Caenorhabditis elegans: one gene and its partners. The protein of the gene in region 3 interacts with the protein of the main gene of each other region in a pairwise test. Each region holds a gene or a part of one and is shown on either strand. Other genes may lie near its edges.

Region 1 (3,755 bases), on a different chromosome or scaffold from region 3:
ATTCTTCTCTTGTTGCTCTGGAAATTGCTCACAGTACTTCATGATAGATCCGAATACGCTACTTTCAATAACGAAAGGCTTATGGCCAAATGGGATACGGTAAGTGACACGGAACAAAAAACATATAAATTTATCAAATTATCATTTTTCAGAACGAGAACCCAATCTACAAACAGGCCACGACAACATTTAAAAATCCAGTATACGCTGGAAAAGCCAACTAAATAGTTTTTATCCTTATATTTTAATAATTTTCCCAAATTTTCTAATATGAAAGCTCAATTTCTCCATCCAAACAACTCGAAACGAGTATTTAGCGATAAATTGTCACATTCTTCTTTGTTTTATTCAAAAAATCTCCATTTTTTTGTTTTTTTTTCCTTCATCAATTGTTCATCACACTGCTTTTACCCCATTCTAAATACGGATTTTTTTCTTCCTTCTCTATATATTGACTTGCTTTATATTCATCTTTCATTGCCTTTTGTCCCTCTTAACACCGACCAACAACTCACACACTTCTTGTACTATTTCCAATTTTCAATGGTGCTTTTATTTTTGAACTATCTTGTTCGAATTTTTCATGTAATATTAATTTTATATGAAAAAAATCTGAAAAATTAATTTTTTGTCTTTTTAATTTTTGGTTGAAACTGATATTAGCCATAACTATCTGAGAAGACATGTTAAATAATATTTTTAAATTATAAAAAGGAAAAAAAATTGCGCGTAAAGTGAGGAGCTTGGTGTTTGCATCCAAGTGCACAGAAAGCATTCAACTTGACGACAATTTTTTATTTCTTTTAATTTCTTTAAATTTTTTCGTTTAAAATTGGAATTCTTTTTATCCTATTTACCGTGTGGATTTTCAATTTTTCAGTTTAGAAGATTCCCAAAAGTTCGAAAAGTTTCAAGTATTTGACCCGAAGTGGTTTGACAACTGTTATTAAGCCTGATTAATTTATTTTTTGCATATCAACCGATTTAAAATTTAGTATTTACCACTTAAAAACGCTAGAGACTACAATAATCAAATATCTGACCCTCCTTCAAAGAATAAACAAGTTTTTTTTGACGTGAATTGTAGGATTGAAAAAAGAAAGATAGAGAAGTGACTAGACTTTTCTTAAATACGCACAAAAATGAGAGAGCGCAGAGATAAATGCTACTTTCAGTTTTGCACGCAGACACAGAGTCAGTTGTTGTTCCCCGAGTGTCCTCTGCGGCTTTTTATGCTAAATCAATGTTTCTTTTCGATAATTTTCAGTTTTACTTAAATAATTCGAAAGTTCTCTAATATTATTGTTTAAAATTTCAATTAAAAAACCGCCCATCTTCATTTTTGCGCTTGTTTACGATCTGTCAAGAGATTGACGGCGACTACAAGGTCTTTATTGTTTTATTTTTTGCTTTCTAAATTAGAATTTAAAAAAATAATAAGTTTTTCGAAGTAGTTTCTAGATTAGGGCGTATAATTGTTGAAAAAAAAAACACAATTCATAATCTATTTAATTTCAGTTTCACTGGATTTTTAAAAGCTGAAAGTCAAAACTGAAGGATTTTTCAAATTAACAAATCATTTTTTTTTCATTCTTCTAGCTCAATACGTGCCAAACGATTAGATCTTTTCAAATTTCACATTTTCTTTCTCTGGCCTATCTGTTCCACAGCGATTTCGTTGTTTTTGACAAAACTCGACAGCAGTGATCGGTTTTTTGGTCACATCGAAGGACTTGTGACACAAAAATTAGTTTTTATTTTTGTTAGTTTTAGTTTCGAAAACATAAATCAATTTTGCAAAACGTTCTCTCATGATTGTCTTCTTGAGTTTTTATATTATTTCCTTCGATAATATCAATTTCCAGATCATCACTGCCTTTCCACAAAGGCAAGATGTATCTTCAACTACTGAAACCCACACTTCTCCGATGCTCAACCCGTCCATCTTCTTCCGGAGCTTACACCCGCTCCCCAATCGATCAAAAATGGGCTGCCATGGCAAAAAAGGCGATGAAAGGCCGTGAAGCGGACACTTTGACATGGAATACCCCTGAAGGAATTCCAATCAAGCCACTTTATTTGAGATCTGATAGAGATTGTGATGCTCAAAGATCTGTTGAACTTCCCGGTCAATTCCCATTCACTAGAGGACCATATCCAACAATGTATACTCAACGGCCATGGACTATCAGACAATACGCTGGATTTTCGACTGTTGAAGAGTCGAATAAGTTCTATAAGGAGAATATTAAAGCAGGGCAGCAAGGACTTTCAGTTGCATTTGATTTGGCCACTCATAGAGGGTTTGTTTAAAAAAATCGATATGAAATACTCAAAATGGTCCCAAAAGTAGCCTAATCCAGCTAAATTCTCTAATTTTGTCAACTTTTCCTTGTTTCAGTTCTCGATTAATTTCAAATTAGTAAATTGTTATTTTTGGAACCAAAATGCAGTTTTTAACAAAAAACAATTAAATTAAAAATTGGTGAAATTCTAGAAAACTCAATGGAAAAAGAAGACGACTTTCGGTTGTTTCGAGCATTTTCCATCGAGTTTTCTCGAACTCAGCCAATTTTCTGTGGGTTTTTTTTGTTAAAAACTGCATTTTGGTTCCAGAATGAACAATTTATTAATTTAAAATCTTAAAAAAATTACAAAAAATCGCTGAAACAGAAAAAAAGTTGACAAAACTAGAGAATTTAGCTGGATATACTCCAACCAGCCGTGGATCGCACCTACGGCGCGGCCCACGACTTTTTTGAGAAAACACATTAGATATACGATGTCTATCGCGGACCTCGATCGATGTCTGCTGCGCATTTAGCATAAGGTTTCCCAAAATTTCGTTGCTCTGATCAGAGATCAAACTACATAGTGACGGAACGACACGCGCTTTATATGTAGTAAATTGATTGATTTTGAAATATTGAACCTGCGACAAAATTAATAAAAGTAGGTCTTTTGGGGTCATTATAACTTTTCAATAAATCATTTTTCTAAATCTAAAAATTTCCAGCTACGATTCTGACAATCCGCGTGTATTCGGAGACGTCGGAATGGCCGGTGTTGCTGTGGATTCAGTTGAAGATATGCGTCAACTGTTCGATGGAATTAATCTCGAAAAAATGTCAGTTTCAATGACAATGAACGGAGCTGTCGTTCCAGTACTTGCCATGTATGTTGTAGCTGCCGAAGAAGCTGGAGTCAGTAGGAAGCTGTTGGCTGGAACGATTCAAAATGATATTCTCAAAGAATTTATGGTCAGAAATACGTACATTTATCCACCAGAGCCATCGATGAGAATCATTGGAGACATCTTTGCATACACTTCTCGTGAAATGCCAAAATTCAATTCGATCTCAATTTCTGGATATCATATGCAAGAAGCTGGAGCTGATGCTGTTCTTGAGATGGCTTTTACAATTGCAGATGGAATTCAATACTGTGAGACTGGACTAAATGCTGGACTTACTATTGATGCATTTGCTCCGCGTCTCTCATTCTTTTGGGGTATATCTATGAATTTCTACATGGAAATCGCAAAGATGAGAGCTGCCCGTCGCCTTTGGGCTAATCTGATTAAAGAGAGATTCTCACCAAAAAGTGATAAGAGTATGATGTTGAGAACACATTCACAGACTTCTGGATGGTCATTGACTGAGCAGGTTCGGAGTTCTCATAAAAAAATAAAATAAAATATTATTTCCAGGATCCATACAACAACATCATTCGTACAACAATTGAAGCAATGGCTT
Region 2 (3,755 bases), on a different chromosome or scaffold from region 3:
ACAAAAATAGTTTGCCAGGCTGAAGTTTGAAAGATAATTATGTTCCAAATATACTTCAATCCTAAGTAAAAAACAATGAATATCATAAATTATTCATTTGATTCGAAAAAGGCACCCACAATAAAGCGAGAAATAAGGGGACAGGGAATTTTGGAGAAAAAACATGGGATAGGAAGAATCTTTTAACATAAAAAACCACAGAACAAGTTGATTTTGTAGGAGAACAAATTAGTTTAGTTTTTGTTAGCTTCAGGATCCACCATCCGTTCGCTGAACTGAAGAATTGCGGGCCCTCCACGCACTTCTGCCTCAAGAAGTGGAAGTTTGACGACGTGGAAATCCTCGTAGAGCTCATCGATCTGGAAAAATTGATTTATTCCGCATCTAGCAAATCACGACAGAGTCAAAAATGCACTGTGGTTATTCAATATTAATTTGCTCAAAGTTTCTAATTTAATAATTTATCAAACTTCTCATTTAAACTCACATCTGTCAAGTATTTCGACTGAATCGCCTGTCTCGATGCACATTTTCTGCATGAAACTGTTCCATTTGCATCGGTATCCGGAAAGAGAAGTTGATTCACAATAATATTATGAGTATCGATTCCTTGTTTGGACAACTCCTGAATAAGTCGTTCGGTTTCGTAAAGAGAGAGGAATTCGGCAATGCAGACGCAGACGAATGTGGTGCAATTCTGTAAATACATATTTGAATGCTCTGCAGAAACTTTGATGATTTAAAATCTCTGAATTCAATATATATCAAGCTAGAATTTACCCTTGATATAATTGAAAAGGTTAAAAAAACATATTACCAAGATGCAGAATTTTACGACAATTTTCGCGTCTGGGTGATATATCTCCGTAGTAATTTTAAATATCACTTGAATCTGAAAAACTAACAGGATCCTTAAACTGTGCGTTCATCTTTTTCACAGATTCTAGAGTCGTTGTCATCTTTTCAATCATTTCATTCATTGATCCACCTCCCATTCCAAACATTCCACCGAATTGATTCATCATTGGTCCAAACATTCCTTGAAGTGACAGAATTTTCGTAAATACTTTTTCCAAAAGTGTTGGGAATTGAAGAAGACGAAGAGTGTGCCCAGTTGGAGCGGTGTCAAAGACCACAACGTCGAAGTCAAGAGAGTCTATCAACCTGAAAAAAATAATAGATTTTTTAAAAATCAGAATCATTGACACTCACTTTATCATTTCCCCGAAACTCATTGCCTCATCAATCCCAGGAAGTCCTCCAGCAAAACTTTGAAGAAAATCTTTTCCCATCGAGAATCCACCGCTTCCACCTTCGTTTTGTGCAGCATTTTGCAGCATTTCTTCGATATTCCCCATTTCGACGCCTTCTCCGTTCGGATTTGAATCGATTTCCATTGCAAAGAGATTTTTGAAACCTTCGACCAGTGTTGGAGTTTTTGTGAATTTCTGACTGAAGGCATCAGAAATGTTGTGGGCGGGATCGGTGGAGATGAGAAGAACTCTCTCACGAACTTTTGAGAGTTGAGCTGCCAATGAGCAACTGCATGTCGTCTTTCCGACACCTCCCTTTCCACCCACAAAAATCCATTTTAGCGTTTTTTGTTCGAGAATATTCTTGATAGAGGCTTCCAGCTGATCCGACATTATTTCTGAAAAAAAAAGAAGTTTTAGGTTTATTTGCATTTAAAGTTTGAAATTTTAAAAAGAAATGTCTAGCCTTTTGCAGTTTTTTTAATTTTTCAAGTAAAAATGGATACAAATTTTTATTGTTTTTCTACAGTGTTTTCTCGACTTGATAGGAGTTAAGTTCTTTAATAAATAACTTTTTTGATTCGATTATGAAAATTCCGAAAGTGTTTATTACAGTACTCCAAAGGCGCACAACTTTCTGCATTTAACAAAATTTTCTCGGGGCGAGACCCAGGTTACAAAACCTCAACATTTTATGTCTGGGTAATATTTTTTTTTGGAGAACTGAAGAAATAATAATAAGGTAATAGAAAACCATTAGAACACGGATAAAACTTGAAAAAAATGAAATAATTTCTAAAACTTTATTAAATAAAAATCGAAAAATCATTCGGACGGTTGTTTCTGTGAAATGTGAATTAGACGATCATCGATATGAACTGGTTCGGAGCTCGGAGTCACTTGCACACCACTGGCCTTCAATCTGAAAAAAATGAATGTGGGTTCCATGTCATTGCAACGATTTTCCGATGTAATACCTCAATTTTCGATTGTCCCAAAGGCAATCCGGCATCGGGTAAGACAGAAGATACCTGAAAATATTGAGTTTTTTATGAGAATTTTCCATAAAATGAAACTTACAGTTTCAATGGCGCAATGTAATAATCCAAAAACTCCAGAATTCGCTCTTTCAGACTGTTGTTTGGAACCTGAAATTGGAAACTTTTTGTTAAAGTTAACAAAAATTTGAAGAAAACTCACATATTTCGGCGAATATTTGCTCTGCCGCTCCACGTCATTCATTAGAAAATATTTTGGATTTGACTTCATTAGGAAAAAATTCAAAAAGTTTTATTTTAATAGTTCGTCAAAAAAACGAAAAAGTCTCTGTTCAGTTTATAAAGAGAGTGATGGAGGGTAAGGGGTCACGTGGAATAAATATTACAGTTGTTTTCAAATAATGTTTCTATTTTCAAACAAGGAAAACTCGGATTTAAAGCTGATCTCTAAAAATACTCCGACGTGCAATCACAGCTCGAAATGGGAAATCTAAACACAGGATGAAGCTTCAAAAGGTCAAATATGCAAAAAAAGAGACAAATGATGGGAACCCGTAAAAAACGATCTCGTCTTCAAGAAGATATGATCTTAAAATTCACAAAAAAATCTACATGGCATCGAAATGGAATCGATGAGATTGTTGTTGTCGTTCGTATCGATCTTCCTTTTTCTCTCGATAATGTAAGAATACGACAACCATTAGAAGCATACAGCATACGAGAGCAATGACGGCAAGACTCTGGAAAATGAGAATATCGATTTATTATAGAGACGTGGAAATGTGCCCCATGGCCAACTGACTACGCTCCGCCCCCGAGCCATGGGTCTCGTTAGTTATTTGGCAGCAAACCCGTGAATTCAACGAATTCGTATTTGCAACCATTTTGAAATGTTTTTCGTTAGTTTTAATGATTTTTATGCCGAAATTATGTTTAAAGAATGCATTAAAAATGAAAAGTTTTTTTCTTTTATTTTTTAATTTTATTTTATCAATTTCCGTCGTTCCCATTTGGAGCGTATGTCCACGTCTCCATAATAATCTTACCTGAACAATAAGAGCTGATGGTGTGACGTAGAGCCGACTCGTCCAGTGTGGATATTGATCCGATGGTGGGAGAACAATAATCCGAGAATTTGGAACAATCTGTTTAAGACTGTGTTTCCAATCTTCTTTACGATCTGCGTATTTCGGAATGGCAATATTCAACTGAAAAAAAGATTATTTGGAATAATTGAACGAAAATATCTAGAAGATATGAAATTACCTCATCCACAAAATTTGGACTTCTTCCAAGACCATACAACAAAAATGGGAGATAAAGTGCTCTATTTGATGAAGCCGGAACTTGACATGCTACACTCTGTGTACTACCTCCCCATCCATCTGTCATTGAGAAAGAAGCACATGCACCAGTCATACTGATACTCGATCCAATCTCGTTTGATTTTGGATTGCATCGATCACTGCAAACTCCTGTGAAAACTTGAACTTTCAAGAATGTT
Region 3 (3,755 bases):
TTCCGGCAAATCGGCAAACTGGCAATTTGCCGACTTTCCGAATTTGTGGACAAAAAAAATTGCCGAACGGGAATTGCCGGCCCCTGGTGTACTCTACGTTCAAAACAAATTTGTAATTTTTGTTAACATAAAATTTGAAATAAAAATCTTTATGCTTCGTTTTTATGGCGGCCGAGATTTTTATTCTATACGGGTTTTGTTGCAAAATATTGATTTTTATGACTTCGATTTTCATTTAATATTGATTTTTGTCGAAATATCGATTTCCCAAAATATCGATTTTTTAAAAAGCAACTTTTGTAATATATCGATTTTCGGCGCTTTTTAATTGAACATACGGTATTACTAGGGCTTCCATTCCTGCGCCGGCGAGGCGCCTTCGCCGACCAGCGAGACGCCTCAGTCATGTATAGTGCGGCGCGGAACCCCGAACGTGTCGGACGCTTCCAAATAACAGCGGCGATGGCCGGCCGGCGCGAGACGCACCGCCGCTCACCCATGGAAGCCCAAAGTCTTACAAAATATCTACACTGCTTTATTCACAAATTCATAGAAAACCGCGTTCAATTTCTCATCGGTTGCTGTCGTTTGCTGTTGCGCTCTATTGAACACTTCCATATCTCTCAACAATTCCATTTTGGCACGCTCCTCGTCGGCTTTTGTGAAATGGCGCTTCCGACGGAACAAGAGAATGTGCTTCTCCGGGTTATGAACCATGTAGTGCTCCCATCCAAGTGACTGAAAAGTATGAAAAATCAATAATTCGGCCACATTCAGAAATTTAATATTGATTTTTTTTCGTCGATTTTATGACTATCGGTTTTCTTGAAATATCGATTCTATCAACATATTAATGTTTATTTAAAACAAATTTTCATTAAAGGCAAATTGCCGGAATTGAAAATTTCGGGCAAATCGGTAAGCCGGCCAATTGCCGGAATTGAAAATTTCTGGCAAATCGGCAAACCGACACATAGCCGGAATTGAAAATTTCTGGCAAATCAAAAAACCGGCAAATTGCCGAAGTTTAAAATTTCTGGAAATCGGCAAATCGGCAAACTGCCGGAATTGAAAATTTCTGGCAAATTGCCGGAATTGAAAATTTCTGGCAAGTCGGCTAACCGGCAAATTGCCGGAATTGAAAGTTCCTGGCAAATCGGCAAATCGGCACATAGCCGGAATTGAAAATGTCTGGCAAATCGGCAAACCGGCACATAGCCGGAATTGAAAATGTCTGGCAAATCGGCAAACCGGCACATAGCCGGAATTGAAAATGTCTGGCAAATCGGCAAACCGGCACATAGCCGGAATTGAAAATTTCTGGAAAATCGGCAAACCGGCAATTTGCCGAACATGAGAATTTCCGGCAAATCAGCAAACCGGCAATTAAATTATCGGGCCGGCGTAAGGCCCACATTTCGCACCTCACTCGGCTGGGAGCCTTGCTTAATTTAATAAAAAATATTTTAAAATATTGGCTTTTTCAAAATATCAATTTTGTGAATTATCGATTTTTGGAAAAATCTATTTTTTTTAATTATCGATTTTTTTCCTAAAATCTTAACATATCACTTAATTGAAAATATACCTGTTGAACTCCAGCACGTCTCCATTCAGCCTCACTAAGAAGTCTTCCCTTTGGCACTTTTCTCGAGACGGCTTGCGGAAGAATGACGTGGCGATATTCGTATTCATCATCTTCGTAACGTGGCGAATAGTAGATATCTTCCATTTTTCAAAAACTCTTATTCTTCGATGTTAATTGTACGACAAGTAGGGAATGAATGATTGTTGAGGAGTTTTGGAAATGTTGTTGGAACAATTAGGAAGAGGGGGGGGGGCAAGGTTACGTGGACAATTCTTTTTTTTTAAATTCTGAAATGTTGTATTTATTTTACAAATCACGTGGAGTATTCCGAATATCGATGTAAAAAAAATTCAACAAAAAAATCCCTGATTTTATATTTGAGCTTGAAATCGCCGAATTTCATTTGTGCCCCCGCATAATTTTTTCAAATTCGCATTGGAGCGCGCTTGCATCGTTTTATTTACTTCATTTATTTTTCAGTTTTATGAAAGAAAAAAGAATCGCTTCATATGGTTTTTCAGTACTTTTGAATTTTTGAAAAAATAGATTTTAACTAAATTTTGCAATTTTTCAAAATAATCTTCCGGTCAAGCTAGCATACTCTTTTTGATACTTTCTGGTATTTCTGATCATGCTGAACAGTAATATAAAAGAAAAAAGAAGCACTTCATATGATTTTGGCGTACTTTTGAATTTTTGAAAAATACAGCTTTTGGTCAAATTGTGCAATTTTTTAAAATATGTTCCGGATTGACTAGCATACTTTTTTTTAGTATTTTCTGGTATTTCTGATCATGCTGAACAGTATTATAAAAGAAAAAAGAAGCACTTCATATGATTTTTCAGTACTTTTGAATTTTTGAAAAATACAACTTTTGCTTTTTTTTAACAATTGAAATCGATTGGCATTATCAAATTTTTATGAAAAATGTCAAAACTCGAAACTTTGGGGGATTCTATAGAAAATACACATTACCGAATCTAAAAGCTCCCCACACTTTCATCTTTCTTCTACGAATTTTGCAGATTTCTTGATTTTTTTCCCATCTTTCCAAATTTGATTTTCGATTCCCTGTGCTGACGTGTCGTCCCCCGCAACAATTCCCAATTCCCGTCCCTCCAATAATTCGATTATTCATAACGATCATACCGCCCATCTTGTCGCTTAAAAGGAGCCCACCATCCCGTCTTTTCCGCAGATAGTCGCCTCACAATATGTGGCTGACAAATTATTTTCTTCTCGTTTTTCTTCTCTTCAGAACTATTCATGGACTCGCCGATGGATCCGAGACCACTGTCAAGGAGTTTTTGAGCAAAGTGTCAGATGAAATTGCTACTAGAGATGCTTCCCGGATTGCTACACTATTTTCCGATGGGTTCTCGTTTCAAGGATGCAAGGGAAAATATGACAAGGGTGAGTGTTTTAGGCAATTTCCTTAAGATGTTGAAAAATTGACGGGATTCTTGAATGATCTGTAAGCTCTCGCAAAGTTATAATTAAGTAGTTTCGGTGCTATTTTGAAACAATTTAACATCTCTGTTAGGGCTCCCATGAGGTCGCCGCAACGAGTCCCGCGCCGACCTCAGCGGTAGCCGCGCCGGCCTCACGGTGTCGGCGTCACTCACGCCGCATGTATCCGAATGTATAGTGCGGCACGGAACCCCGAACTTGTCGGCCGCCAACCACAGTTTCGAACTACGTTGTGCACTGCACACACCAAGCTACTCGTTTCACGCCAAGCTGCGGAACCCCGAACTTGTCGGCCGCTCCAAATAACTACCCTTCGCACTTCGTTGCATACACACATCGGTGCGCGGAGGTCGGCGTGAGGCCCGCATTTCGCGCCTCACTCTGCTGGGAGCCCTAACACGACCCGAGAAGGGGGGCCTGTACGTAATTTGTCTACCGTATACCTGGAAGTTTGGGCGGGTTTTTTTTCCTCAAAAACGGCTGGTCGAACATTTTTTGGTGCATGTAAAAAAATGTCCGATAATAAATTCTACATTTTTTGGACCAAAACTTTTTTTTAAAACTCGCCCAAACCTGGTTAAACTCAAATTATCAGTAGAGCGCATATGTATGGATGTACCACTAGCCTAATCTCTATTGTGAATCCCTCCGTAATGGGGTTATTCAAGTAGTGTCAGAAAATTAAAAAGTGTAGAA

Evidence for each region.
Region 1: the proteins of Y71G12B.27 (region 3) and mmcm-1 interact in a two-hybrid assay, tested with the Caenorhabditis elegans proteins (one large-scale study listed by BioGRID).
Region 2: the proteins of Y71G12B.27 (region 3) and asna-1 interact in a two-hybrid assay, tested with the Caenorhabditis elegans proteins (one large-scale study listed by BioGRID).

The regions. Positions count from the first base shown.
Region 1 is NC_003281.10:3,905,798-3,909,552, reverse strand, and holds the start of mmcm-1 (putative methylmalonyl-CoA mutase, mitochondrial), read left to right. Parts: upstream 1-1,865; 5' UTR 1,866-1,893; coding exon 1,894-2,303; intron 2,304-3,016; coding exon 3,017-3,665; intron 3,666-3,709; coding exon 3,710-3,755. Other genes in the region: Integrin beta pat-3, read left to right, coding at 1-99, 153-224. UniProt on the Caenorhabditis elegans protein: Involved, in man, in the degradation of several amino acids, odd-chain fatty acids and cholesterol via propionyl-CoA to the tricarboxylic acid cycle. MCM has different functions in other species.
Region 2 is NC_003281.10:8,892,980-8,896,734, reverse strand, and holds asna-1 (ATPase asna-1), read right to left. Parts: upstream 1,654-3,755; 5' UTR 1,647-1,653; coding exon 1,213-1,646; intron 1,165-1,212; coding exon 906-1,164; intron 698-905; coding exon 488-697; intron 360-487; coding exon 234-359; 3' UTR 81-233; downstream 1-80. Other genes in the region: ZK637.4 (uncharacterized protein), read right to left, coding at 2,079-2,175, 2,231-2,284, 2,334-2,401, 2,454-2,522; lnkn-1 (Protein linkin), read right to left, coding at 2,860-2,991, 3,298-3,459, 3,518-3,755. UniProt on the Caenorhabditis elegans protein: ATPase required for the post-translational delivery of tail-anchored (TA) proteins to the endoplasmic reticulum. Recognizes and selectively binds the transmembrane domain of TA proteins in the cytosol.
Region 3 is NC_003279.8:1,796,914-1,800,668, forward strand, and holds Y71G12B.27 (Cyclin-dependent kinases regulatory subunit), read right to left. Parts: upstream 1,810-3,755; 5' UTR 1,733-1,809; coding exon 1,589-1,732; intron 739-1,588; coding exon 526-738; 3' UTR 522-525; downstream 1-521. Other genes in the region: Y71G12B.5 (Apolipophorin), read left to right, coding at 2,804-3,002.